Elephas maximus indicus: one gene and its partners. The protein of the gene in region 4 purifies or fractionates together with the protein of the main gene of each other region. This does not show direct contact. Links are inferred from orthologs where the notes say so. Each region holds a gene or a part of one and is shown on either strand. Other genes may lie near its edges. The genes, in order: PFDN5, VBP1, PFDN4 and MAPK7.

Evidence for each region.
Region 1: the proteins of MAPK7 (region 4) and PFDN5 purify together in Homo sapiens (affinity purification with mass spectrometry; 3 studies listed by BioGRID and IntAct, with this or other methods). This does not show direct contact. The link is inferred for Elephas maximus indicus from reciprocal best matches to the Homo sapiens genes MAPK7 and PFDN5.
Region 2: the proteins of MAPK7 (region 4) and VBP1 purify together in Homo sapiens (affinity purification with mass spectrometry; 3 studies listed by BioGRID and IntAct, with this or other methods). This does not show direct contact. The link is inferred for Elephas maximus indicus from reciprocal best matches to the Homo sapiens genes MAPK7 and VBP1.
Region 3: the proteins of MAPK7 (region 4) and PFDN4 purify together in Homo sapiens (affinity purification with mass spectrometry; 3 studies listed by BioGRID and IntAct, with this or other methods). This does not show direct contact. The link is inferred for Elephas maximus indicus from reciprocal best matches to the Homo sapiens genes MAPK7 and PFDN4.

Annotation. Positions count from the first base shown.
Region 1 is NC_064822.1:108,807,049-108,814,475, forward strand, and holds PFDN5 (prefoldin subunit 5), read left to right. Parts: upstream 1-4,423; 5' UTR 4,424-4,459; coding exon 4,460-4,531; intron 4,532-4,733; coding exon 4,734-4,836; intron 4,837-5,118; coding exon 5,119-5,150; intron 5,151-6,165; coding exon 6,166-6,240; intron 6,241-6,339; coding exon 6,340-6,445; intron 6,446-7,183; coding exon 7,184-7,260; 3' UTR 7,261-7,360; downstream 7,361-7,427. Other genes in the region: ESPL1 (separin), read left to right, coding at 110-237, 373-495, 815-970, 1,090-1,260, 1,373-1,477, 1,668-1,783, 1,943-2,026, 2,150-2,314 and 1 more. UniProt on the Homo sapiens protein: Binds specifically to cytosolic chaperonin (c-CPN) and transfers target proteins to it. Binds to nascent polypeptide chain and promotes folding in an environment in which there are many competing pathways for nonnative proteins.
Region 2 is NC_064846.1:784,958-792,663, forward strand, and holds the start of VBP1 (prefoldin subunit 3), read right to left. Parts: upstream 3,001-7,706; 5' UTR 2,969-3,000; coding exon 2,876-2,968; intron 1-2,875. UniProt on the Homo sapiens protein: Binds specifically to cytosolic chaperonin (c-CPN) and transfers target proteins to it. Binds to nascent polypeptide chain and promotes folding in an environment in which there are many competing pathways for nonnative proteins.
Region 3 is NC_064843.1:15,426,233-15,433,689, forward strand, and holds the start of PFDN4 (prefoldin subunit 4), read right to left. Parts: upstream 3,018-7,457; 5' UTR 2,821-3,017; coding exon 2,797-2,820; intron 1-2,796. UniProt on the Homo sapiens protein: Binds specifically to cytosolic chaperonin (c-CPN) and transfers target proteins to it. Binds to nascent polypeptide chain and promotes folding in an environment in which there are many competing pathways for nonnative proteins.
Region 4 is NC_064820.1:213,458,308-213,465,176, reverse strand, and holds the start of MAPK7 (mitogen-activated protein kinase 7), read left to right. Parts: upstream 1-3,867; 5' UTR 3,868-4,007; intron 4,008-4,289; 5' UTR 4,290-4,294; coding exon 4,295-4,526; intron 4,527-5,126; coding exon 5,127-5,292; intron 5,293-5,938; coding exon 5,939-6,869. UniProt on the Homo sapiens protein: Plays a role in various cellular processes such as proliferation, differentiation and cell survival. The upstream activator of MAPK7 is the MAPK kinase MAP2K5.

The DNA of each region.
Region 1 (7,427 bases), on a different chromosome or scaffold from region 4:
GGAAGACTTCGTGCATTATCTCGAGTGTTGGATAGGGATTAGTACAGAAGCCAGAGAAGGGAATTCTTTGCAACAGCTGAAATAACTTGGGGTATGTCCTCTGTGTCAGGGGTGACTGTGTGTGTGTTGGCCCTGGCCACCCTCCAGCCTGGAACTGTGGGCAACACCCTCCTGCTGACCCGGCTGGAAAAAGACAATCCCCCGGTCACTGTGCAGATCCCCACTTCCCAAAGCAAGGTAGGCTTCCTGGGCCAGGGGACAAAGTAGGGCTGGCGTGGGTTTCTGGTCAGGCTGCTCAGGCTCTGTGGCTGGGGCATGGAGAGATGGCAGTCATGCAGACAAGCAGAGATCTCATGACCCTGTCTCCCAAAGCTTTCTCTGAGCTCAGCCCTAAAGGAGTTTGATGCCATCCAGAAGGAACAGAAAGAGAACAGCAGCTGTACTGACAAGCGAGAATGGTGGAAGGGGCGACTCGAACTGGATCATAGGATGGAGGTGTGTGCCCCCAGGGTGGGGTGAAGGCAGACCTGCCCTAGGAATGGCTCAGGGGATGCCAGAGCGTAGTTCTAATCTGATACACATGGGGTCACCATTAGTCAAAATTGACAGCAACTGGATTTGGTCACATTTGTCAAAATAGAGTGACACCATGTCAGAGTCCCAGCCCCTGGTTTCTTACCTTCTATGACTGGCAGAAAGATATACAAGACAAATACACACATTGGAAAACTCATTTCTTTCCAGAATGCTGGTACCCATGGGGAAAGAAACTTAGCTTCCTCTCTGACTCAAGATTCTGTTCTCCCACCTTCAGGTTCTCATCACTTCCCTAGAGAAGTATGTGTTGGGCTGCTGGCGGGGGCTGTTGCTGCCATCCAGTGAGGACCCAGGCCTTGGCCAGGAGGCTTCCCATTTAGAGGAGTTGCTGCAGGAATGTGGCTGGAAATATCCCAATCCCACTCTGCTGAAAGTGAGTTAAGAAAGCAGGGAGGGGAAGAAGCAGTTAGCCTGCGGACTTAATTCTCTTCCACTAGCAAAAAGGCCACTGTGAGTGGGTGATGGCACCCACTAACCACTGTTCCCCTGCAGATCCTGCTCAGCGGTGCCAGTACTCTCACCCCTCAGGACATTCAGGCCTTGGCCTATGGGCTGTGCCCAGCCCAGCCGGAGAGAGCCCGAGAGCTCCTAAGTGAGGCAGTGGGACATCTACAAGGTCTGACAGTGCCAAGCAATAGGCACCTTGTCTTGGTGCTAGATAAGGTAAGGAGCTGGAGGAGCAGATGGACAATGGGTGCTGTCCCATCCCTGTGCGCCTTCTGCCTGTTATGTATACCTGGCTGGGGACAGTAACCTCTGAGTACTTTTTGCCCAGGACCTGCAGAAGCTGCCATGGGAGACCATGCCCAGCCTCCGGGCACTGCCTCTCACCCGTCTGCCCTCCTTCCGCTTTCTACTCACCTACTCCATCATCAAAGAGGTGAGGCTCAAGGTGTGGAGCTGGGGATGATTGGCTACTGGGGGAGACCTGAGGCAAGACACAGGCAGAATGCTCTAGAGACATGAGTGGGCCTTAGGAATGCGTCAGAAATGGAAAGGGGCTTGGAGCATGCCGGAACTTGGGCCTACTGGCCAGACCAGTATCCTGATCACCAGTGTCTCCTCCTCAGTCCGGGGCCTCATCAGTGCTGAGCCAAGGCGTGGATCCACGTAGCACCTTCTATGTCCTGAACCCTCACAATAACCTGTCAAGCACAGAGGAGCAATTTCGAGCCACTTTTAGCAGGTCAGAGGGGTGAGAGTAAGAAAGGCGGGTGGGAAGGGTAGAGACAACATGTCCTTTTCTCCAGAATTTTGCTGTAGTCCGCCTTCTACCTAGCGTCCTCTTTGCTTCATGGCCCCTGCCATGCCATTCCCTGTTCTAACTGCTGCCTTTTCCCTGCAGTGAAGCCGGCTGGAGAGGGGTGGTTGGGGAGACCCCAAGCCCGGAGCAGGTGCAGGCGGCCCTGACGGAGCATGACTTATATATGTGAGTGCTCAGAGAGGGGGAGATGCGGGGAGGGGCATCCCAGGAGGGGACCACTGTGGTTTGCCTTGGGGCAGAGACACGATGCTGGTAGGTCAAGGCTCATCTCTCCCCTTTCTACTCTAGCTATGCAGGACATGGGGCTGGTGCCCGCTTCCTAGATGGGCAGGCTGTCCTGCGGCTGAGCTGCCGGGCAGTGGCCCTGCTGTTTGGCTGCAGCAGTGCGGCCCTGGCTGTGCATGGAAACCTGGAGGGAGCTGGCATTGTGCTCAAGTATATCATGGCTGGCTGGTGAGTCTTGAGGGGCAGGCCCATCCTGGGGCGTCAAGACTCCTGCTCCCACTCCACCTTCTTTCCCAGCTTTGAACCCTGAACCTACCTCTCTTATGCTCTACTTTCTTCCTGTCTTAGCTCCCTGGTATGCCAGGACTTTTAACCCTTAGAACTCTGGGCCAAGGGAGTTCCTCATTAGTTCAGCCCTCTTTACTTACCCCATACACACCCAATCATGTTTTCCTATGTATTCTCTTTCAGAGCCCTTACTTTGTATTTCTTCCCTTCTCTTCCCAGCCCCTTGTTTCTGGGTAATCTCTGGGATGTGACTGACCGTGACATTGATCGCTACACGGCGGCTCTGCTGCAGGGCTGGCTTGGAGCAGGTCCAGGGGCCCCCCTTCTCTACTATGTCAGCCAGGCCCGCCAGGCTCCCAGACTCAAGTATCTTATTGGAGCTGCACCAGTCGCCTATGGCTTGCCTGTCTCTCTCCGGTAACCCATTGGAAGTGTCGTATCTCTGACAGAAGCCATGTGACTATTCTATCTCCAAACTTAGATTAAACCATTAGGCTAAATATTTTAAGTGATTTTCCCCGCTGTTTTATATGAAACATTTCCTTTCGACTTAATATAATAAAGATGTTATTTAAACTCTCTTTTATGCAACTCGTCTTGAGAACATTTAAAGACAAGATTACTGCCCCACTCCTACTATGTGGTATGTGGCACTTAAGTGAGTGGGAACAGATTGCAGGAATTCAAGTCTGAGAGCCTTGGGAAGACAAAGCCATTGAACAGCTGGTTTGGCCTGGCCTCAACAGACAGAGCTGAAGGAGAGAAGTGCATCAAAATACTCTTCAGTGGGGATAGAGGCCCAAGGGTAGAGATAGACTCACTGAGAGCATCTTGGCCAGTTACCATCATGTCTATATCCTGGGAGTGACACTAGCTTTAGTCCTCAGTTGCCCTGCCCCTCTCCTAAGTGGATATTAGAGACTAGCTATTCTCTTCTGAAGGTGCAGCTATTACACTTGGCAGTGCCATGTACTGTAGCAGCAGATTGTGTGTGGAATTCTGCTTATGGACTGTAAGCTCCTCTGAAGCACAAATAGCATTTTACATTCCATATATCCCTCCTAACTTATGTTTATCTGTATGTTAGCTGCTATTGAGTCCACTCCAACTCATGGACAACACGTACAACTCATGTACAACAGAACAAAATATTGCCTAGGCTTGTCATCCTCACAATCACCAGCATTTTCAAGTCCATCGTTGTGGTTATTGTGTCAATCCATCTCACCAAGGGTTTTTCCATCACCTTTGCTGGCTCTCTGCTTCACCAAATATGATGTCCTCTTCCAGTGACTGATTGATCCCTCCTGATGATGTGTCCAAAGCGAAACAATCAGACAATATTCTGTTGTGATCCATAAAGTTTTCCTTGTCTAATTTTCAGAAGTAGATCACCAGGCCTTTCTTCCTAGTCTTTCTTAGTCTGGAAGCTCTGCTCAAAACTGTGCACCATGGCTGACCCTACTGGTATTTAAAATACTGATGGCATTGCTTCCAACATCATAGCAACATGCAAGCCAGCACAGTAAGAAACTGGATGATGGATGCCTCATACAACACATGGTAAAATAGATTGCATTAATCAATAAACTCTGCTGTACTTGTTGGTTGACAATGGTACCTCCTTACCGTTCTCTCCGCCTCCAGACTCATATTCATTTGTCCAAAGAACTTGCTCCTTGCCTATCAGTCACTACCACCCACGTGGAGTAGCATACATTACGTTGCTTTCCAATACTGTGGTTTTAAGACCCGGCAGTGTTTTCATTCTGTTGTACACAGGGTCGCTATGAAACGGAATCAACTCAACAGTACTTGTCTTATTTTTAAGTTCCTGGATGGCAGGAGTCTTGTTTGCTACAACTTTACTGAACTAGGTTTAGGTTTCTTTATAGAATGAGCGTCGTTAACTTCTCTAACCAAACGGGAGCGCCGGAGAGGTGGCAGTCCCTCCTTCCCTTCCGAGACGGAGGATCATAGAGATGTCCGGCGCAGCGAGGCCTCCCGGCGCAGCCATAGAGATGTGCAGTGGACGCCTAGAGCGTTGCCGGCGAACAGGCTTTCCCTTCGTTAGTCCTTCCCAACATGGCGCAGTCGGTTAATATCACGGAGCTGAATTTACCGCAGCTAGAAATGCTGAAGAACCAGCTGGACCAGGTGGGGACGGGCCCCTGAGACGCCCCTTTTCCGCCTCATATCTCCCCTGCCCACACTACTCCCTCGCCCGCATTCCTCCCCAGTTTGGAAAGCTTCCGTTCCCAGCCGAAAGCCCCACCGCGTCCCAGGTGCCGCCCCCTCCCCGGCCGTGCTCCCCTCTTTCTCAAGCCCCTGTACGGACCCTGTTTCCCGTTATATGCAGGAAGTGGAATTCCTGTCCACGTCCATTGCCCAGCTCAAAGTGGTACAGACCAAGTACGTGGAAGCCAAGGACTGTCTGAACGTGCTGAACAAGAGCAACGAGGGTATGGGTTAGGCGGGTGAGGGCAACCTGAGGAATGTGGCAAGCCGGCTTCTCCTCTCGTACCACCTCCTAATCTAGTTTTCCTTACCTGAGGGAAGAAAACAATCCATTACATATTGTATACTGCTTCATGAACCCTTTGCATGTTGCTTAGCTAGAGCTGCCCCTGTTTCTGTTCTTTTCATTCTTTCTCTGGGTGCTGTGCCATGTTTGAACTCCCTTTAACGTCTTAACGTTGGAGCTGCCAACTTTCCCCAGGTGTTTGTCTTTATTGCTTTCACAGGGAAAGAATTACTTGTCCCACTGACGAGTTCTGTATCCTTTCGGCAAGAACTGCTCTCCTGCTTTCTCCTTTCCTTCCCTCTGGGGAACAAAAGGGGGGAAGGTAATTTTGATTATTCCACGGTCCCCCATGATTTTGAGAACACCCCTCTTATTATACACACTTCCCTTTTGCTGTTTGAAGATATTAATGTAATATGGAGATAAAACTGGGGGTTTACACTTTGGCTAGTAAACTAGGTAGAAGACACGAGCAATAGAAGAATAGGATATAGAAACTGTTCCTAAACTGCGGTCGCTAAGCAACAGGGATTGTGTCCACCTGTTGAGTGTTTTACTTGCATGAGCAGGTTATGGTGGTACAGCGTTTGTAATCTGTAGTCTGAGAACTGACAGGCTAAAAGAACTGCTCTCCTGCCTTCTTCCTTTCCCCTGGGGAAAAAAGGGCCGGAAGGTAGTTTTGATTACTCCACAGTCCCCCATGATTTTGAGAACACTCCTCTTATTATACACACTTTCCAGCTCCCCTATCTAACTTGGGGCCAACATCCAGCTAACAGCTTGTGAGTACCAGGGAGTACATAGACTTGAAGTGTGATAGCACTGTAGTGAAGGGCTAGCAGTGTAGTTGGGAATGGTTAAATAATGAACATTAAATCCCTTAGGAATTATCTAGTCCATGGTTGGAGATGTTAAGGAAAAACAAGGCTGACTTTTCACTTTCACTACGCTAGAGCAGTGGGAAAACATTGTGTCTAGACTTTCTGGAATAGCTAATATGAAGTCTTAATGAAAACTGCTTGGAGGGTGGGGGATGGGGTCAGGGCAAGAGAGTGTTCCATCTTATGTCATTTTCTCCATAGGGAACCAACTTTTCTCTGTCTTTCCCCATCTGGAGTTTAGAGGTATAGTTCTCAAGCCTCTAGATTATTCAGTACCTGTGTCTCAGCATTTTAGAAAAGAAGTGTCTTAGGAGGTCAAGTAGGCTGGCTGACAGGGAACCAAGGGTAATGCTAGGCTAGTTTTTCCCTTAATCCTTGCTTCTCAGATGTATGTCCCTGGGAAACTACATGATGTGGAACATGTGCTCATCGATGTGGGAACTGGCTACTATGTAGAGAAGGTGAGCTGGAGGAAACGTGGATGCCCTTCTAAACAGGGAAATATCTAAGGTGCAGCATGAGGTCTGCTCTTATCCCCCATTAACCTCTGACCTATGTAGACAGCTGAGGATGCCAAGGACTTCTTCAAGAGGAAGGTAGACTTCCTTACCAAGCAGATGGAGAAAATCCAGCCAGCTCTGCAGGAAAAGCATGCCATGAAACAGGGTAAGCTTGGCCTGGGGCACCTCCTGACACTGTTTTTGACCTCCATGGTAAAGAAGTGGATTGCAGGGTGAATCATGGGTGTGTTCCTTTTGCTAAATTAAAACCATGTTTTTGTATCTCTTTCTGTGGTGCTTTCACGTATCATTCTTTAGATCTGTGTTACTCTTTCGACCTATGTACCCACTATTTGTAGATCCCTGGTTGGGTGCTTGAGAAATTTGGAGGAAGGAAATCATGTCTGTGTTCTTGTGGAGCTCCTATCTAATTGGAATAGAATGGCAGGAAAGAAACATAGCCCAAACTAATACTAGCAATTGTAGCCCTGGCTGTGCGTTGAATCACCTGGGAAGTTTAAAAAGCAAGCCTGGGTCCACTCCCGGCCAACTAAATCAATCTCTGGGAATTGTTCCCAGGGGTCAGTGTTTTTTAAAAGTTCCCCAGGTGATTCTGTTGCAGTCAGGACTTAGAACTACTTCTAAAGGCAAAAATCTATCACATTATAATTTTCTGGTTATGTCTGACTCATTAAAAAATAGCTTTGCTCATTCGTTAATGTATTGATGACTTAACACATTGTAGGATCTGAATTTGTGTTACTGTGTGTCTCCCACAGTGGATCACTGTGTTAAAAACTTTATTAACAAACTGTAAATAGTGGTCTGCCTTCAAACCTGTCATTTTTCCTTACCTCTAGGTTAGGTTCTGACCAGGGTCTTACTCTTCCTTTTTCGTCCACAGCTGTTATGGAGATGATGAGCCAGAAGATTCAGCAGCTCACAGCTCTGGGAGCAGCTCAGGCCACTGCCAAGGCCTGAACTTGTTGCAGAAATAGAGCGGAGGGACCCTGCTTCAGGGGCCTGGGACTCTGTGGGCATGGCTTCTTAGGGCGGGGGCGGGGGTCTCGTCGAGCTTGTGTTTAACGCTAATAAAAGTGCCAGCTGGCCAGAATGTTTTTGTTTTTGCATTAATCAGGGACTAGGAA
Region 2 (7,706 bases), on a different chromosome or scaffold from region 4:
CCACATTCCAACGACACTCTTTAATGAGATGGAGAAAAATCACCAACTTCTTATGGAAGGGAAAGAGCCCGGGATAAATAAAGCATTTGTGAAGAACAGAGACAAAGTGGGAGGCCTCACTCTACCTGATTTTAGAACCTATTATACCACCACAATAGTCAAAAACAGCCTGGTACTGGTACAACAACAGACGCATAAACCAATGGAACAGAACTGAGAATCCAGACATAAATCCATCCACATATGAGCAGTTGATATTTGACAAAGGCCCCAAAGCAGTTAAGTGGGAAAAGACAGTCTTTTTAACAAATGGTGCTGGCATAGCTGGATATCCATCTGCAAAAAAAAAAAAAGAAATAGGACCCATACCTCACATCATGCACAAAAACTAACTCCAAATGGATCAAAGATCTAAATATAAAATCTAAAACGATAAAGATAAGACTGTATAAAGCTCTCAGATGAAGTTCATCCTCTGAATTAGATTTCTAAATACATCTCTAGCTGAGCACCATGAATGTAGTAAAAAGGCGCTGTTATTGTTGTTTAGTGCTGTTGAGTCAATTCTGACTCACAACGACCCTCTGTACAACAGAAGGAAGCACTGCCCAGTCCTACGCCATCCTCACAATTGTTGCTATGTCTTAGCCCGCTGTTGCAGCCACTGTGTCAATCCATCTCATTGAGGGTCTTCCTCTTTTTTGCTGACCCCTCTACCAAACATGATGTCCTTTCCAGGGACTGGTCCTTCCTGATAACATGTCAGGCACTCCTTAGAACTGCGGGTTTAAGGCACTAAGGAAGTGTGACACTTAGTTATGAGCTTACACTATGGGTCAAGCACTGTGCTAGGACCAGAAGTAACACTGAGCAAGAGAACTACCATGGGCTGCTGGGTAGTGTGAAGGGTTAAGCACTCAACTAACAGCTGAAAGGTTAGCAGTTCAAACCCACCCAGAGGCACCTCGGAAGTCAGGCCTGGTGATATGCTTCCAAAAAAGTTACAACCTTGAAAACCCTATGCTGCAGTTCTACTTTGCACACATGGGGTCGCTATGAGTGGAAATTGAGTAGAAATCAACTCAATGGCATCCAACAACAAGAGAACTACCATGCCTTCCTCCACCTAGCAGAATATGGTGGGTAGGCTGTGGAACCCCATGGATGGCCTAAGTTCAAATCCTAGATACCTCACTTACACCTTGTGTGACCTGTGACAAGTTACTCAAGGGCTCTTTGCCTCACTTTCATCATCTGCAAAATGGGAATAAGAATACCTACCGTCTAGAGTTTTACAAAATCCTTAGAAAAGTGCTGGCACATAGTAAACACTGAAAAATTTTATCTCTTGTTACAACTGTTGGGACATAATTATAAAGAAATAAATGGTACCAGCTCGGGGAGAAAACAAAGAAAATAGTTACAAAATTATATCAACAAATGCAAATACACGATATAAACCTGAAAACCAAACCTGTTGGCTGTAGAATCTATTCTGACTCATAGCGACCCTACAGGACCAAGTAGAACTGCCCCATAGGGTTTCCAAGAAGCAGCTGGTGGATTTGAACTGCCGACCTTTTGGTTAGCAGCCAAGCTCTTAACCACTGTGCCACCAGGGCTCCATACAATATTAAGTGCCAATCAAAGTGCTCTACACAAAATAATAAAGAAATGAGTCTTTTGAAGAATGTGAGGCATGATTAGCAAAAAAAGTAGAGGTAAAGCAATCCAGGTAGAAACCAAACCGAAAGTTTGAAAAACTTCCGTTGATATTTTATAGTACCTCTGCCAGAACTCAGTAAGGACAGACAGATAATACTGGCCTGGAAGGACAGTCAGAGATTTTCTCTCGTTATTCAAGTAATATTTCTGAAATAGCTTGACAGAAGGACAGAGTTAGTAGCTTCTACTTTTTTTTTTTACTTGCTTCTCTTTGTTTGGACTTGGGTTGGTCTCCCCGTGAAGCCTCCAAATTGCGTCCCCACCTTCTGTCTGAACCCAATTCTCCACTAAGGTGTTAGAATGATGTACCTAAAACCAAATATGATTATACCGTGGCTTTATTTAGAAACCTTTTCATGGCAGTCCACTGCCTACTGGATAAAGCCTCAGTTACTTAGCAACACATACAAAGAACCTCAGGATCATCCTAATCTACGTTACCATCCGTCTCTCCTACCATTCCCCCAGAGACAACAGATCACTGCATTCCTTCAACAGATCAGGTCCAAAACCAAAAACCAAACCCAGTGTCGTCGAGTCGATTCCGACTCATAGCGACCCTATAGGGCAGAGTAGAACTGCCCCACAGAGTTTCCAAGGAGCGCCTGGTGGATTCGAACTGCCGACCCTTTGATTAGCAGCCGTAGCACTTAACCACAACGCCACCAGGGTTTCCACAGATTAGGTACCAGCCTCTATTTTCACATCTTAATACCTCAAAACCAACTCTTCAGCCTACACCACGTTCGATTCATTATATTCTGTCCAATTATTTGTCTGTCTCTCCAGCATCTAGGCTGAGTCGTGAGCTTTTTCACGTTAACCTTCTCTAGGTTTCCAAAGGCCGCAGCTAAAGAAACCCGGCAGCGGTGCGGTCCCTCAGGTCGCCCTGCCTGCTCTCCGAGCCCCGTCCGCCCCTGAGTCCCGCCAGCCCGCGCTCCCTTTTCTCTCAGGCCGCATTTCCTCAGGGTGGACCGCAGTTGAGATTAAACCGTTTAGATGCGGTGAGGGAGAGAAGGCCGAGCACTCCCGCCCTGGACCTTGAGCTCAGCTCCGTCCTCCAAGAGTCAAGGCCGAGGTGGGGTGAGAGGACGAGAAAGCTCAGTCCGTGGCCTCGGGCCAAGGAGCCTCGGGCCCGCGTGCCTCTTACCACAAACACGGCCACGGGAATCCCCAGGTGGAGCCGCCGCCCATTCCCTGTGGCCACTTCTCCGAGGCCACAACCGTCCTTAGCAGCCGCCATCTTGGGGAAGCGTGTGCGGCCAGGCTCCAGACTAACTGCCTCCCAGGCCGCCGGCCCGCCTGAGGGCCGTGATTGGCTCGCCAGGCCCTGTAAGCCCGCCCCTTTCCCGTGAGTCTGCTCAATAATCGGTGCGCGGAAAGTAGCTACTCTTCGCTGATTCGCCCAACCTGTGGGTGCTGATTGGCTGCCCCCAGAGTGACAAGCGTGGAGGCGGCAGCCTAGGAGCGGCTGAGGGCTGCTGGAAGGACTAATTTCGACCCTTGGGTAAACGGGTCTCGGGGATTTTATGGGTGCGTTTAGGGCTGGAGAGCCCGGGAATCGGGAACCAGCCTGGACTACACTCCACCCCAGAACAGGCAGCATGCTCCAGAATGGCATCCCGTTCGACCCTGTCTCTTCTCGGACAAGATCTAACTTGGGACCTAGACGCTTACCATGGGAGTTTGGCCTCTGCCCCTTTCCGGTCTCACCATACAGGGAGCTTCCTGCTCCATGGAGGGGACTTAGCTGGTGTCTTATGAAGTGCAGCCGCTGGCCTGATTCTAGTCAATACTACCCCCATCGTACCAACCTTTCCCGAAAACCGCCTTTGTTCAGAATCTCATAACCCCAGCTCAAAGGTTTTCCAACTTCATAATCTCTGTATAAATTCCTGAGAATTCTACCTACACTCCTAGGCCCACAAACTTCCCCAGCAACGTCCTGCACTACAACACATTGAAAGAAAGAGCTTTATTTTTTGAAAACAAGGAATTCTTGGGTCTCTTTGCTGACATCTACCTACCATGCTTTGTTCTTCCCTTTGCTTTCACTGGAATGCTTCCTGAGGAGCCCTTCACCCCCTCAGACACAGTCTACCATGAATAAGGGATAAAAGCCTGTCCCCTTCCTTAGTGGGGACACATATACGTAATAATGATAAAAACCTGTTGCCATCGAGTTCGACTCATAGTGACAGAGTAGAACTGCCTCATAGGGTTTCCAAGCAGTGGCTGGTGGATTTGAACTGCTGCCCTTTTGGTTAGCAGCCCTAGTGCTTAACCACTGTGCCTGTGCCACCAGGGCTCCAATAATAATACTGGCTAACATTTATTAGGAAGCTCTGGTGGCGTAGTGGTTAAGTGCTATGGCTGCTAATCCAAAGGTCAGCAGTTCAAATCTACCAGGCTCTGGGGCAGTTCTACTCTCTCCTATAGGGACTCGATGGCAACGGGTTTGTTTTTTTTGGGTGAACATTTATTAAAATCTAACTGTGTACAACTTAACAAAAAGACAACCCAATCAAAAAAGGGTAAAGGACTTGAACGAGCATTTCACCAAAGAGGATATTCGAATGGCCAACAAGCACAAGAAATGATACTCAACGTCATTAGCCCTCGTTACCATTGTTGTTAGTCAACTCGGCTCTGTCTCACAGCTACGTTGACTGGTCCTGCACCATCCTCACAATAGTAGGTATGTTTAAGTCCATTGTGGCACCCACTGTGTCAATCCTCTTCCTCCTTTTCACTGACCATCTACCAAACATGAATGAAGTCCTTCTCCAGGGACCTGGTCCCTCTTGATAACATGTCCAAAGTAAGCGAGACAAAGTCTCACCATCCTCGCTTCTAAAGAGCACTCTGGCTATACTTCTTCCAAAACAGATTGGTTTGTTCTTCTGGCAGTCCATGGTATATTCAATATTCTTCACCAACGCCACAGTTCAAATGCATCAATTCTTCTTCAGTCTTCCTTTTTCATCGTCCAGCTTTTGCACGCACATGAGGCAACTGAAAAGACTATGGCTTGAGTCAGGTACATCGTTGTCATCAAAGTGACATCTTTGCTTTTTAAGATTTTAAAGAAATCATTTGCACCAGATATGCCTAATGCAATTGCAGGGCAATAGATTGCTTTTATATGGCCTTTCTCACCATGGTTTTGTAATTCCCACCAAATGACAGGGCGGGAATATGCAAATGATGTGCTTGTGGCCCACCAAGGGGACTGGATAGCTTGCTAATAATGTAAATAAGGTGCATGGCACCCTTGTGGGGCTGGAATCATGCAAATAAGGTGTATGGAACCCTAACAAGGGGATTGATCAGTTTTGCCATTCTGCCAGCCTTAAAGGGTGTCTTAGTCATCTAGGGCTGCTGTAACAGAAATACCACAAGTGGATGGCTTCAACAAACAGAAGTTTATTCTCTCGCACGCTGGTAGCCTAGAAGTTCGAATTCAGGGTGTCAGCTCCAGGAAAAGGCTTTCTTTCTCTGTTGGCTCTGGAAGAAGGCCCTTGCCATCAATATTCCCCTGGTATAGGAGCTTATCCATGCAGGAACCTTGGGTCCAAAGGACATGCTCTGCTCCCGCCACTGCTTTCTTGGTGGTATGAGGTCCCCGTTTCTCTGCTCACTTCGCAAGAGAGATTGGCTCAAGACACAATCTAATCTTGTACATTGAGTCCTGCCTCGTTAACATGACTGCTACTAATCCCATCTCATCAACATCATAGAGAGAGAATTTACAACACATAGGAAAATCACATCAGATGACAAAATGGTGGATGATCACACAATACTGGGAACCATGCCAAATGGATACACATATTTTTGGGGGACACAATTCAGTCCATGACAAAGGGACACATGGAGAGATGGAGAGAGGAGCTGTAACATGGAAGACAGCAAGAGATGGTGGCTTGAGGTGGCAGGAATCAGGAGACTGGTGCAAGATGGCTTCAGTGGGGTTTGTTTGGTTTTAAGAAGTCTTCAGGGGATATTTTTGGTTTAAAGTTTAAAAATTATTTCAGGGCAATATTTTCCGGGGATCATCCAGCCTCCATGGCTCCAGAAAGTCTGGAGTTTATGAGAACTTTAAATTCTGTTCTACATTTTCCCCCTTTTGATCAAGATTCTTTTATAGAATCTTTGATCAAAATATTCGGTAATGGCAGCCGGGCACTATCCAGTTCTTCTGATCTCATGGCAAAGGAGCAGTTGTTCATGGAGGCAAAGGAGCAGTTGTTCATGGAGGCAATTAGCTACACATTCCATTTCCTCCTCCTGTTCCTGACTCTCCTTCTTCCTCTGTTGCTCTAGGGGAATAGAGAACAATTGTTGTGCCTTGGATGCCTGCTTGCAAGCTTTTAATCTTTTGATTTCTTGACTACTGCTTCCATGGGCCTTGGTTATTGACCTAAGTAAAATAAAATCCTTGACAACTTCAACATTTTCTCTGTTTATTGTGATGCTGCTTATCGGTCCATTTGTGAGGATATTTGTTTTCTTTATTTTGAGGTGTAATCCATGCTGAAGGCTGTAGTCTGTCAGTCCACCATCTGGAGTCAGTGTCTCATACTGTGGTGGCTTGCATATTGCTGTGATGCTGAAAGCTATGCCAACAGTATTTCAAATAACAGCCAGACCACCCCTGATGGACAGGTTTCAGTGGAGCTGGGAGACTAAGATATTAGGGAAATGCAAATCGAAACCACAATGAGCTATCATCTCACTTCCATTAGAATAGCAGTGATCAAAAAAACAGAAAACAACAGGTGATGGTGAGAATATGGAGAAGTTAGAACCCTCATCCATTGCTCGTGGGAATGTAAAATGGTGCAGCTACTGTGGAAAACAGTTTGGCAGTTCCTCAAACAGGTGAACATAGAACTACTATATAACCTAGCAACCCCAATCCTAGGCATATACCCAGAAGAAGTGAAAGCAGGAATGCAAACAGAAACCTGTACACCAGCGTCCAAGCCAAGGGGCCCTGGCAGTAGGACTGTTGTTTTTGTTAGGCGCCGTTGAATCCGTTCCGACTCACGTTGTTGTTGTTCTTAGGTGCCGTCGAGTCAGTTCCAACTCATAGCGATCCTATGCACAACAGAACGAAACACTGCCCGGTCCTGCACCATCCTTACAATTGTTGTTATGCTTGAGCTCATTGTTGCAGCCACTGTGTCAATCCAACCTCCTTGAGGATCTCCCTCTTTTCCGCTGACCCTCTACTCTACCAAGCCTGATGTCCTCCTCCAGGGACTGATCCATCCTGACAACATGTCCCAAGTATGTAAGACGCAGTCTCGCCATCCTTGGCTCCAGGGAGCATTCTGGTTGTACTTCTTCCAAGACAGATTTGTTCGTTCTTTTTGGCAGTCCATGGTATATTCAATATGCTTCGCCAACACCACAATTCAAAGACGTCAACTCTTCTTATTCATTGTTTTCCTTATTCATTGTCCAGCTTTCACATGCATAGGATGCGATTGAAAATACCATGGCCTGGGTGAGGCGCACCTTAGTCTTCAAGGTGACATCTTTGCTCTTCAACACTTTAAAGAGGTCCTTTGCAGCATATTTGCCCAATGCAATGTGTCTTTTGATTGCTTGACTGCTGCTTCCATGGCTGTTGATTGTGGATCCAGTTAAAATGAAATCCTTGACAGCTTCAATCTGTTCTCCATTTATCATGATGTTGCTCATTGGTCCAGTTATGAGGATTTTTGTTTTCTTTATGTTGAGGCGTAATCCATACTGAAGGCTGTGGTCTTTGATCTTCATCAGTAAGTGCTTCAAGTCCTCTTCACTTTCAGCAAGCAAGGTTGTCTCATCTGCATAATGCAGGTTTTTAATGAGTCTTCCTCCAATCCTGAAGCCTCATTCTTCTTCATATAGTCCAGCTTCTCGGATTATTTGTTCAGCATATGGAGTAAATAGGTATGGTGAAAGAATACAACCCTAACGCACACCTT
Region 3 (7,457 bases), on a different chromosome or scaffold from region 4:
GGCGTAATGTGTTACAAATGGGAAGTACTTGAAGTGGTTAAGAGCTCGGCTGCTAACCAAAAGGGTTGGCGGTTCAAATCCACCAGCTGCTCCTTGGAAACCCTATGGGGCAGTTCTACTCTGTCCTATAGGGTCACTGTGAGTCAGAACTGACTTGATAGCACAAGACAATAACAAGAAGATACAAACAATTTTATCACAAACGGCAATCATTATGACATGCCGATAAGGTTTCTCCTATAGTGGGCAGAGGGAAAAAGTGTCTGTCTGTGTAGCTAACCTAAAACCAAAACCAAACCAAACCCACTGCCTCCAGTCAATTCCGACTCACAGAGACCCTGCAGGACACAGAACTGCCTGCATAGAGTTTCTAAGGAGCACCTGGTAGATTTAAACTGCCGGCCTTTTGGTTAGCAACCATATCTCTTAACCACTATGCCACCCGGGTTTCACCTAGCAGTGATTACTCCTAACATCGAAAACATCCAGAGCAGCATGTAGCATCTACCACGCGACTCTCGATGGCTCCTAAAGCAAAGAAGAAAACTTTCTGTGTGGCCGCCACTTTCTGTTTCCGCACACGCTCTTTTCCCATCCTGGGTCTCCCCCGGCCCTCTATCCTCTGCCATTCTGGCTTTCCTTTTGTTAAATGCACTCAGGCTCTTTGCAGGAGACACTCCCTCTCTGGAATGCCTCGCCCCCTCGGAACTTTCCCTTCCTCTCGGTGTGTAATCTAACAGATCTCTGCTGAAATGACACCTTCTCAGGAGGGCCTTCCCTGAACTCAGACCAAACCTTACTCCAGTCCTCATTTCACAAGTGCCTTTTCTTCACAGTTCTTACCAAAGGTGGAAATTTTATATTTTTTGGTGTGATAATTTGAGAAACAGGCTGCCTTTCCCCCTAGAGCACATGTTCTGTGATGCTCTGAGGACAACGACTTTACTCCTATTCACCTAACACAGAGACTATGCCATATTGCCTGCTCGAAAATCTCTGCTGAATGAAAGGATAAAAGGTTGGCAACCGCTGATTTAACCGAACCCATAATGGAGTACCCGATGGAAAAATTTTGCAAAGTCCAGGGTTCGAATAATTTTTCTACCATTTCCTCCATTTCTCTACACATCAGTGTCCTCATCTGTAAGATGGGGGCTAACATAACTAATATCTTTCAGGGTATTAAAGGTCATACCTAACAGATGGACCAAATTAGCAAACTGAAGGTGAAGTGAATCTCCCAAAATTTCAGACCTGTTTGAATCACCACGGCCCTGAACCCTCTTCCAGTCCTCAATAAGCATTTGTGAATGACAGACCAGTAGGGTGACCAGCTCATTCCAGTTTTCCCCAGGACTTTACTGGTTTTACCACTGAAAGTCCAGGGTCTCAGGAAACCCCTCAACCCTGAGCAAACCAGGATGGTCTCTGGAGACCAGGGAGAGGTGGCTTAAACTATGCAATACTGAAAAGTAGGAGAGCAAAGGAAGCAAATGCTTCTGAGGTGGCCTCAGAAGTGGAATGAGAACAGACATACAAAAACCTTGGAAAGCAAGCACCTTCAGCCAGGGGATTCTCATGGCATGGGAGTTAAAAACAAGGCTCTGAAGGCAGAAGTCCTGTTTAAATTCTAGCTTTGCCTCTATGCTTGTTTCCTCATCTGTAAAATGGGGATAAAAATATCACATCCCTATAAACCTGTAGTAGCACACAGGAAAGCCGCAATAACTATCGACTGGCATTATGTCCTTGCTCCGCCACCACCACCACCCTCATTTAATTTTTCTTTTACCTGGAGATCTTTAAGCATCGGGGTAGATTTACTGGATTGTAAATCCCAAACTGGAACCCTGGTGGTGCAGTGGCTAAGAACTCAGCTGCTAGCCAAAAGGTCGGCAGTTCGAATTCACCAGCCGCTCCTTGGAAACCCTATGGGGCAGTTCTACTCTGTCCTATAGGGTCGCTATGAGTTGGAATCCACTCAGTTGTAACGGGATTCGTAAACCCCAAATAGGAAGCAACTTGCTTAGCAGGAAAAAAGGTGGCTTTGGGAAAAAACAAACCAAACCTGGGTTTGAACCCCAGATATACTATTTATGAGCTCAGTCACTTTGGGGACACTAACCTCTCTGTGTCTAAGTTTCTCCACCTGTAAGGGGGAAAAGGGGAGGATAAGGGATAACGGAAGACTGCTGGGTCCTGACACAGCCTCTGGCTTCAATACCGGTTTTAGCCTTGCGGGCTCAGGGGCATGGAGTATGGACGTGAGCACCTCAGGGCTGGGCGCACCGACGTGAGGCCAGATAATCCGGAGGCGCAGGTCTGGCTCTGCCCCTCACCTGCTCTGTTACCTTGGGTAGGTTCCTCCACCTCTCGGAAGCTCAGTTTCCTTACCTGTGGGCGAGGGTACTACTAGCACCTACCCAGTAGTAGATCCAGGGAAACCGCTTAGTGTGATGGCCAAATGCGGTCACTGAGAGCTTCGGCTTCCCACACCCCAAGGGCCGCGGGGTCCTCAGACCTCCCAGGGGACTCAGCACCGCGAGAGGCGGCCTGAGCCTGCCGAGGGTCCCAACCCGGGCACGTCGCCTCTGTCGGGCGGCGGCCTAAGAAGACGCCCGGGGCCGCCGGGCGCCGGCAAGCCTCGCCGCGGGGCCATCCTCAGGGCTGAGACCTCGAACCCAGGCCCCACGCCGGGGCTCAGAGCTGCGCATCCCCAGCATCCCGCTGCTCCGACCCCCGCGGCCGCCCCCCGCCGGCTGCCGGAGCACCCGACACCCCGAAGGCCCCACTCACCGCCTTCTTCATGGTGGCCGCCATCTTGGGACTCGACTACGGCGCGAGGTGGGGAGGGCCGCAACGGCGCGATTCTCCCCCGTGCCCTCTCTCACTTCCTGTTGGCCCTGATCGCCTGAAAAATACAACACGATCTCCACATTCCCTTCTCGAAACCTTCAACCAACGATAACTAACGACTCGAACTCAGGAAGGAAGATGAAAGCTGAAAGCACTTGGTACATCCCAATTAAAGGGACAGGCAACCCCCTGTGGGCCCACGGAAACAGGGGGGTGTGGCAAGCAGCCACATAATCCAGCAGCCGGCGGTAGGGGGCGCCCAACGCAAAAAAGCGCAGAGGGGCGGGGCCGGGAGGAGGGGCGACTCCGTGGGCGGGGCCTGGAGAGGAGGAAAGGGAACTTCTATTCCATCTATCCAACAAACTAGCATTTTGATAAAGAGCTAAGAACAAAGGGCTTTGACAATAGGATGTGATATTTACGTGCACTGATAATTCAGAAGGTGTGAAGGAAGAAGTACCCCAATTAATTAATCTATTCCACAATATTATTGGACAACTACTGTAATTTTTTTTTACTGTGTACAGCTTGAGCCTGCCAGTTGCTAACTCAGCAACTCTAGATCGTGATTCTCTTTGTCCCTTTTTTAATACCGGGACTCCTTTGCACTTTTAAAAAGTCACGGAGGACCTCAAAGAGCTTCTGTTTATGTAGATTATATTTATCGATATTTACCACACGAGACCTCTTTAAAGTGTTAAAAAGCAAAGATGTCACTTTGAGGATTAAGGTGCGCTGACTCATCCATGGTATTTTCAATTGCCTCATATGCATGTAAAAGCTGGACAGTGAGTAAGGAAGACACAAGAAGAATTAGTGCCTTTGAGTTATGGTGTTGGAGAAGAATATTCAATATACCATGGACAGCCAGAAGAACGAACAAATTTGTCTCAGAAGAAGTACAGCCAGCGTGCTCCTTAGAAGGGAGGATGGTAACACTTCATCTCACGCACTTTGGAGATGTTATCAGGAGGGACCAGTCCCCGGAAAAGGGCATCATGCTTGGTAAAGTAGAGGTTCAGAGCAAGAGGGGAAGACCCTCAAGGAGATGGATTGGCACAGTGGTTGCAAAGATGGCCTCAAGCATAGGTACGATTGAGGATGGGGCAGGAGTAGGCAGTGTTTCGTTCTGTTGTACATGGGGTCGCAATGAGTCGGAGCCAACTCGACAGCAAAACAAAACCATACAAGAAATTAAAACATAAAAATATATATATGATTTAATTAAAAACAATAAGTTCATTCCATATTAATGTAAGCAACATTTGAATGAAAAATAACTGTTTTCCAAAACAAAAACAAATATTGAGAAGAATGGCATTGTTTTGCACTTCTACAAATCCTTCTAATGTCTGGCTCGGTAGAAGGTTGTATTCTCGTATCTGCTTCTGCAGTCAATCTGTTGCGATATGCTATTTAGTTGAAATACAGTGAAACCTGTGAAAGCCGGAACTCGATGGGAGTGCCTTGTTTTTCCAAGTTTTGCAAGTTTTCCCACCTTTGACAAGGTGCTTACTAGCTCTGTCTATCAAGACTCCTACCTCATTTTGGTTTGGGGTTTTCCTTCTCCAGCAGGTTTCTTCCTTACACAATTTCCAGCTTTCACAGGTTTTACTGTATATGAAGGAAATCTGGCTTCACCCAGATGTATAGTTGGAAAAAGGAAGCCCCTGTGGTTTCACTGGAAAGATCTCAGGGATCCCCAGGGGTCCTTGGGCCACACTGAGAACTGCTGCTCTAGACAAGTCTTCTCCTCTCTCCAAGTTCCAATTTCCTGTTTGGTTAAATGGGGGCAAGGGGACCTTATAGTGCCTCTGCTTTCCCTACCAAAGCACTTAGCCCCACAGTGACTTTGCCTGTTCTTCCATCAGATTCCCCGCTCTGGGCGCCAGGCCCTTTGTAGGCAAGTCTTCCCAGCACATAGCTCACACTTGCTCAGCACATATTTGTTGAAGGAAGGAGTTTCTTCAGGTTAAGTCTTTGCACAGGGCCCAGCACCTAGTAGATGCTCCATCAGTGACACCCATTCATGCAAGAGCTCACAAAGAACAGCTATATGGAAACACTGTAGAAGCAGGCAATGGAGGGGGAGACAGGACAAAAGCACAAAATCACCACAAATGGCACCAAGTGCATGAAGGAAACAAACGAGGGGCTGAGACAGAGAAAATCAAAAGAGCAGTAGAGACTGGCCCTGTAGAGGTGGCCACTGAGCTACGAATAGGAAGGAGCCAGCCATGGGGTAACCAAAGGAAAAGGACACCCCAGACAGAGGGGGCATTGGGGTGGCCACTGCAGTAACTGCTGGGTGTAACAAGTGGCCAGAAGCAGGTGAGGCCAAGGAAAGGTGAAACCAAGAGGATCTAAAGTGACAAATGACAGTTGTGTGAATCAGAGACCCATAAAGTAGGCTTGGAAACTCAGATGGTGGTGCCTGGAGGATACCTCTGGGGTGACTGAAATAGATTCTGTTCAGGTACTCACAATTAGGATGGTCCGCATGCTAATAGATGTGCCGCTGAGTAGCTTCCTCATCAGGGGCAAGCTTGTTATCATGCCTTCTCAACATCTGAGTCTCTTGTTATCTATTCATGGAGCCTAAATGCTACACCAGGACATGTTTGGCTCTGAGGACAGAAGGCCTAACTGAGAGTGGCTGGTATAATAGGGGGTCATTTTTTTTCCTCTAACAAGTGACATGGAGGTAGGTAAACCCTGGTGGCATAGTGTTTAAGTGCTATGGCTGCTAACCAAAAGGTCGGCAGTTTGAATCCACCAGGCGCTTCTTGGAAACTCCATGGGGCAGTTCTACTCTGTCATATAGGGTCACTATGAGTCGGAATCGACTCGACAGCAATGGGTTATGGGTGGAGGTAGGTGATGGCTGGGCAGGCTCAGCAGTTCCAGGAAGTTCTGGCTCTAGACTGGATATTCTGTGAGTCTTTGGCTTTCCCTTCACAAGATGGCTGTTGCTTCTCCAGGTCCTCATACAAGTACATATGAAGACAGGGAAAAGGGGACAGAGCCCACGTCACCGTTTACGCTCCCCCTCATGTGTTCTCTCTCTCTCTCTCATGTTCTCTCTTTTTCAAGGAGGGAAACCTTTCCCAGAATGCTCCAGCACCCTTGCCCTTATGTCTGTCTTTTGGGCCAGAACTGAGCCATATGCCAACCTCTAGCTCAGTCACTGGCAAAAGCAATGGATTAGTGATTACCTTAAACAATCATGATTGTTATGGCTGAAAATATGGCTGCCTAAATACAATTGCCACCACCTGTCTGTCAGTGTGTCATACTTTGGTGGCTTGGCTTGTGTGTTGCTATGATGCTGGAAGCTACGCCACTGGTATTTCAAATTCCAGCAGGATCACCCATACTGCACAGGTTTCAACAGAGCTTCCAGACTAAGACAGGCTAAGAAGAAAGGCCTGGCAAACTATATCTGAAAATCAGCCAATGAAAACCCTATGGGTCACAACCGAGTATTTTCTGATAAGTGCTGGAAGGTGAGCTCCCTAGATTGGAAAAAAAAAAAACAAAAAAATTTAGATTGGAAAAAAAAGGCACTCAAAATACACAGTGGCCACAACAATCAAGTCTAGCCTGCCAACAATTGTGAAGGTGGTGCAGGACTGGGCAAGGTTTTGTTCTGTTGTACTTGGGGTTGCCATGAGTTGGAGCTGACCCTGGCAACTAGCAACAACAAACACAATTGGGTTTCTGAAAACAAGGAAAAGGAAGAAGGAGGTAACAGCTGTTGGGCCAGCAGCCAACAGTGTCTTCCACGTGGGAGTTCTGGGTTATCAGACGAGGATTGTCAACAAGGGCTGGGTCAAATGGGGCTGGACAGAGGCTCAGGGACGAGGGGAGTGTCACTGAATCTGGACAGATGGACTGCTCCCTGACAGCCTTGGCTGTAAATTGGCTCACCTTGGAGACCCTTGTTTCATTGGTGCTCAGAGGTTCTCCTCCATTTTTCACAGTCCGTACCCCCTCCTCTCCCCAGCCCCGGGTGTCATTTCAGCTAATCTCTCTCCTAGCAGGAAACCCAGTTCTGCAAGTACACATCTGGGACTTTCAAGCTTTCTGCTTAGCATTCTTTCAGTTCCTTAATATCGAGAATTTCCAACTTTCATTTCCAGCTCTTTCGTTGGCTGGGGACAGTCCTTAGCTGTTTGCAGCAGAGAAAGGAAGAAGCCCAGGGTGTCCGTGGGAGCATCCGGAGACTGCAGGTGAGGGAAGGAAATCACTAATGACCCCAAAGACCACTTGGAAATACCATGCTGACAGAGGGTGAATGATGGCGTTCGCTTGCATCAGGTTGAAAACTGGCTGCCTGCTACTGTATTCGACCCACAAAGAATTTTTTTTTTTTTAATTGAACCAGCATTTAAACATTGGCATTTTTTAGTGTTGCTTGAGCTTGTAAGATCAAGTCTTGTCGACGCTTCACTTCCTCCTGAAGGTACCTGTTGATGCTGCTGATTAAATGGTGACCCATTTAGCTAAGCGGCCCTCTCCAGAGCCCGCAGATCCCCACTCATGGAATGGATACACAATTGGAGGAGCTGCCTCTGTGGTGGTCTACCTGTCAGGCCCCT
Region 4 (6,869 bases):
CGACAATACCATAATTCGAAGGCATCAATTCTTTTTCGGTCTTCCTTATTTATTGTCTAGCTTTTGCATGCATACGAGGCAATTAAAAACATCATGGTTTGGGGTCAGGCATATAGTGGCATCTTTGCTTGTTAACATTTTAAAGAGGTCTTTTGCAGATCTGCCCAATGCAATACGGCGTTTGGTTTGTTGACTGCTGCTTCCATGGGCATTGATTGTGGATCCAAGTAAAATAAAGTCCTTGACAACCGTAGTATTTTCTCTGTTTGTCATGTTCCTTATTGGTCCCATTGTGAGGATTTTTGTTTTCTTTATATTGAGGTATAATCCATACTGAAGGCTGAAGTCTTTGGTTTTCAGTATGTGCTTCAAGTCCTCTTCACTTCTGGCAAGCAAGGTTGTGTCATCTGCCCATCACAGGTCATTAATAAGTCCTCCTCCAATCCTGATGCCACGCTCTTCTTCATATAAGCTTCTCAGTTTTGGTCAGCATACAGATTGAATAAGTATGGTGAAAAGATACAACCCTGACACAACCTTTCCTGATTTAAAACCATGCAGTATCCCCTTGTTATCTTTGAATGATTGTCTCTTGATCTATGTACAGGTTTCACATGAGCACAATTAAGTGTTCTGGAATTCCCATTCTTCTTAATGTTATCCACAATTTGTTATGTTCCACACAGTCCAATGTCTTTGCATGGTCAATAAAACACAGGTAAACATCTTTCTGGTATTCTCTGCTTTCAGCCATGACCCGTCTGACATCAGCAATGACATCCATCATTCCATGCTGTCTCCTGAATCCAGCTTCAATTTTTGGCAGTTCCCTGTTGACGTACTGCTGCAACCATTTTTGAATTATCTTCAGCAAAATTTTACTTGCCTGTGGTATCAATGATATTGTCTGATAATTTCTGCATTCCATTGGATCATCTTTCTTTGAAATAGGCGCGCATATTGATCTCTTTCAGTTGGTTGGCCAGGTAGCTGTCTTCTGCATTTCTTGGCACAGGCGAGTGAGCACTTCCAGCATTGCATCTGTTTGCTGAAACATCTCAACTGGTATTTCATCAATTCCTGAAGCCTTGTTTTTCGCCAGTGCCTTCAGTGCAGCTTGGACTTCTTCCTTCAATACCATCAGTTGTTGATCACATGCTACCTCCTGAAATGGCTGAACATCGACCAATTCTTTCTGTTATAGTGACTCTGTGTATTCCTTTCATCTTCTTTTGATACTTCCTGTGTCATTCAATATTTTGCCCAAAGAATCCTTCAATATTGCAATTCGAGTCTTGATTTTTTTCTTCAGTTCTTTCAGCTTGAGAAATGAATGTGTTCTTTCCGTTTTAGTTTTATAACTTCAGGCCTGCACATTTCATTATAATACTTTACTGTCTCTTCTAGAGCTGACCTTTGAAATCTTCTGTTCAGCTTTTACTTCATCGTTTCTTCCACTTGCTTTAGCTACTCTATGTTCAAGAGCAAGTTTCAGAGTCTCTTCTTGTATCCATTTTGGTCTTTTTTTTTCTTTCCTGTCTTTTTAATGACCCTTTGCTTTCTTTATGTATGATGTCCTTGATGTTGTCCCCACAGCTCATCTGGTCTTCGGTCATTAGTGTTCAACGCGTCAAATCTATTCTGGAGATGGTCTCTTGATTCTGTCAGTTTGTCATACTGTGGTGGCTTGCATGTTGCTGTGATACTGCAACCTATGCCACCAGTAGTTCAAATACCATCGAGTTCACCCATGGTGGAAAGGTTTCAGCAGAGCATTCAAATTAAGACAGACTACGAAGAAGAGGACCTAGGGACCTACTTCCAAAAAAAAATTGGCTAGTGAAAGCCTTATGGATAAAAAAAGAAGTGTAGGTTTACCAAAATTCATTTTTGGTCTGGATCCAGCCCTTTGGCCACTAGGTTGCGACATAAGAAATAAACCCTTGGTCTGGCCCTCAGACTCACTACTGGGCTCTGTCCTGATCTCTCCCTCTTCCATTCAAATTCAGGGCAAAGGAGAAACCTGCAGAGGGCATGCATTCCTCTACTTCTCTGCCTCCACACTTTTGCTCACCTGTTTCCCAGTCCCAGTGTTCTTCTTTCTCATCTAACTTGGCAGAAACCCAGCCATCTTTTAAGTCCCAACTCCAAAATTGCTTCTTCCTTCATAGCCCTACCTCAAGCTCTGCTCGCTGCTGAAAACTTCCTTCCAGCTCACACTGGCGACTACATCTACCTCTGATTCCTTAACCCTGCGTCTTAGAGGGATGCTGCTTGATAAATGTTTGCTACGTGAACATAAGTAGCCCTGGTGGTGCAGTGGTTAAATACTGGGCGGCTAACTTAAAGGTTGGTGGTTCCAACTCACCAGCTTCTCCAAGGCTGAGGGAGAAAGATGTGGCAGTCTGCTTCTGTAAAGATTAAAACAAAAGCCCGTCGCCTTCGAGTGGATTCTCGCTCACAGTGACCCCAATGGACAGGGTAAAACTGCCGCCATAGGGTTTCCAAGACTGTAAATCTTTACAGAGGTGTACAGCTGTATCTTCCTCCTGCGGAGCATCTGGTGGATTTGAACTTCCTACCAATTGGTTAGCAGCCAAGCACTTAACCATTGTGCCACCAGGGCTCCTTTCTGTAAAAATAACAGCCTTGGAAATCCCGTGGCGGCAGTTTTACCCTGTCCTATAGGGTCGCTGGAAACCCTGGTGGCGTAGCGGTTAAGAGCTAGGGCTGCTAACCAAAAGCGGGCAGTTCAAATCCACCAGGTGCTCCTTGGAAACCCTATGGGGCAGTTCTACTCCGCCCTTTAGGGTCACTATAAGTCGGAATGGACTCGACAGCAAGGGGCTTGGTTTTGGTTTTATAGAGTCGCTGGGAGTCGGAATCACCTTGGTGGCAATTTTTTTTTTACATGAATGAACGATTGGGCCCTGGGACGGCTGAGGGCTCCTGGGTTCTAATGCGGCTGTGCCCTCTCTGGGCTTCAGCTGGCCCTCTGGCTCTGGAAGGGCAGAGGCTGGACAGCTCGGCCTGCTGATCGCCCTCGTCTCCGCGGCGACCCAGAGCACGGGAGTCGCAAAACACAGTAGAGGCGTGCAGGAAACATGCAAAAAGGCCAAGAAAAGACGCGCTGAAATCCAGGGACGCCGCAAGCTGTGAGACCAGCCGCCGGAAGTCAGTGGCGGTTCCAGGCCGGACGCTCTAGAATCCCGGAAGACCGGGATCTCTGTGGTTCGACGTGACCACTGTTGTGTTCCAGGAAGGGTGCATTCCCAAAGCAGACAAACAGGACCGAGAAAATGGGGACCTCAATCCCCCGGGCCATGAGGACTGTTAAAGGAAGAGGGGTCCAAAGGAACTGACAGCCAAGCTGGTGGTCGCACACATCTCACCCCCTCTGCCGGCCTTCGGAGGAGGGGGAGGGATCAGCGGCTCATCAGCGCCGGTAATTGGTCGATTGATGACGTGCGTGCGCGTGCGTACGTACAGGGGTGCGGTCTTCCATTCACTCGCGCCTCGGGAGCCAGCGCGCACGCGTCTTACCCAATACCCAGGGATGGCGTAAATACAGGGGCGCGGTCTTTTATTCAGGCGGGCCTCTGCTGCCAGAACGTATGCGTCGGAGGGCGGCGCCCCGCGGGGTGCACACCCATTACAGCGCTAAGCAGCCTCTGGGCGGCTCCCGCCCGCGCGTTGGACTGCGACATGCGGACGCGCAGCGAAGAGGCGAGGCTTCCTCGATTGGTCGTCTCCGATTGGACGCAACAACCATGAGAGGCGGGACCCTCTGCAGAGACCGCTCGACGATTGGCTAAAGACTGGAGGGCCTGTGGTCTGGGGGGCGGAGCGGGGCGGGGCGGGGCGGGGGGTCTGTCCCGGCAAAGAGCGACGCTGAGGTGGTGGCCGCGGCTCTTGAAAAGCAGTGAGCGACTGTACTGCGGACAATAGGCCGGGAGCCCTGGGAACTTACAAACGTCCTGAGGCGGTGTCGGGACAGGCTTCGTTTGGTGAGTGTAGATCTAAGAGAAACGCAAGTGCCTCGCCCTTTTCTTCCCAGACCGCGGCTCGCAGCCCCTCCCCCACAGCTGTCCCTGCGTTTAACCCTTGACCCCCAGCGTGGGCACCGCCTCTCGGGTACAGCGTGCCTGCCACGTGCCAGCCGCATCTTTTCGCTCCCTGTCAGCCCCATCGGCTTAGGGAACTTGAAAATTCATGGCCCTGCTGCCCCATCCCCCAGAGAGGAAACTGAGGCTGGGAGTGGCCCCCTCCTTACCCGCATCTCTACACAGATGCCATGGCCGAGCCCCTGAAGGAGGAAGACGGCGAGGACGGCTCCGGGGAGCCTCCGGGGCAAGTGAAGGCAGAGCCCGCCAATCCCACAGCCTCGGTGGCGGCTAAGAACCTAGCTCTGCTCAAAGCCCGCTCCTTCGATGTGACCTTCGACGTGGGCGAGGAGTACGAAATCATCGAGACCATAGGCAATGGGGCCTACGGGGTGGTGTCCTCTGCTCGCCGCCGCCTCACGGGTGAGCCAGGTCCCCAGGCAAGGAGCCCCTCTTCCTGCTTCTGATCTGCTCCCACCTTTAGCACTCCCCTGGACAGGAGTGCCATTCACCTCTCACAGGCTGGGCCGCTGGATCCCAGAGAGAGGGAGTAACCTGCCCAGGCTCACGTAAGGAGGAAGGAAAGGAAGAATATGAATTCTGGTTCAATTCAACACATATTGATTAGGTACCATCAGTGGGCCAGGCTCCATGTTAAGGACAGGTCTCTGAAACTCTGGTCTGGTGCTTTTGCCATTGTGTCAGTCTACTTTCTGGGACACAGGCAGGTAGAAATGTATTCCGGAGCTAGAGGCTGGCATATAGGATTGTGGGGGGGAGGATGGTAAAGTCTGAGATGGAGAGAGATGTAGGAGATAGATTGAGTACAGGCATTAGTCTTAATGCAAGCGCCAACTAGCTGTGCAACTTGCCTCATAACATAGTTGTGAAGGGTAAATTTGATAATGTTTGTAAAGTGTTTAGCACAAGGCTTGGTATTCAGTATATATAGGTGGTAAGTATATGGTAGCTGTTGTTATTTGTATCCTCATTCCTTGGTTCTTGCCTTTTCCCTGTTTTCAGGCCAGCAGGTGGCCATCAAGAAGATCCCTAATGCTTTTGATGTGGTGACCAATGCCAAGAGAACGCTGAGGGAGCTGAAGATCCTTAAACACTTTAAGCATGACAACATCATCGCCATCAAGGACATCCTGAGGCCCATGGTGCCCTATGGCGAGTTCAAATCTGTGTAAGGAGTGGGGCTGGGAAAAGGAGGCAGAGTTGGGACCTTTTCTGAAGGCTGGTGCCATATTGCTGAAGTTCCGAAAAGGCAGCTGAATCTAATGTAAAGGCAGGCTGGGAAAATACCGATGATTCCAGGACAAATGTTCCTTTATGGACTTGCCAGGGCAACTGTTATTCCTTGAGAAGAGTTTAAGGTTTATAGAATCTCGGTATATTTGGTAGCAGACATAGGACATTCATACCATCACTACTGATTCTACTCCTTGGCAGACGTTGCTAATGAATCACGGAACAATTTTCTTCGGAAAGTAGACACGTCCTCCCAGTTTTTGTCATAGTTCTTCTAGCAGCCATTACCAAACAATGGAGATAGTCCCAAAATTAAACCTATTAGCCAGCATAGGTTTAGGCCAAATCCATCTTTTACGTGATGGGGAAACTAGGTCCAGAGAGAAAAGTGATTTAACCCACTTTATGGCACGGTTGTAGACAAGCTAGAATCTGTTCTTCCTCCATACCATGCTGCGGATTCCGTGGGGCAGAGAGTAAGGTCATTCATTACCTGTCTGGAGTCAGGACAGAGCACTGAGGCTAGGGCTATTCCCTGAAGTGGGAGGGCCAGCCCATGCCTCTCTCCGCCTCTCTTGCAGCTATGTGGTCTTGGACCTGATGGAGAGTGACCTGCACCAGATCATCCACTCTTCACAGCCACTAACGCTGGAGCATGTGCGCTACTTCCTGTACCAGCTGCTTCGAGGCCTCAAGTATATGCACTCGGCTCAGGTCATCCACCGTGACCTCAAGCCCTCAAATTTGTTAGTGAATGAGAACTGTGAGCTCAAGATTGGGGACTTTGGCATGGCCCGTGGCCTGTGCACCTCGCCTGCCGAACACCAGTACTTCATGACTGAGTATGTGGCCACGCGCTGGTACCGGGCCCCTGAGCTCATGCTTTCACTGCATGAGTACACACAGGCTATTGACTTGTGGTCTGTGGGCTGCATCTTTGGGGAGATGCTGGCCCGGCGCCAGCTTTTTCCAGGCAAAAACTATGTGCACCAGCTGCAGCTGATCATGATGGTGCTGGGTACCCCGTCACCAGCTGTGATTCAAGCTGTGGGGGCTGAGAGGGTGCGGGCTTATATTCAGAGCCTGCCACCACGCCAGCCCGTGCCCTGGGAGACGGTGTACCCAGGCGCTGACCGACAGGCGCTCTCGCTGCTGGGCCGCATGCTACGTTTCGAGCCTGGCGCCCGCATCTCAGCAGCTGCTGCCCTGCGCCACCCCTTCCTGGCCAAGTACCATGACCCTGATGATGAGCCTGACTGTGCTCCACCTTTTGACTTTGCCTTTGACCGTGAAGCCCTCACCCGGGAGCGTATTAAGGAGGCAATCGTGGCTGAGATTGAGGACTTCCATGCCCGACGTGAGGGCATCCGCCAGCAGATCCGCTTCCAGCCTTCCCTACACCCTGTGGCCAGTGAGCCTGGCTGTCCCGACATTGAGATGCCCAGTCCCTGGGCACCTGGTGGGGACTGTGCCATGGAGTCGCCCCCGCCAGCCCCACCACCGTGCCCCGGC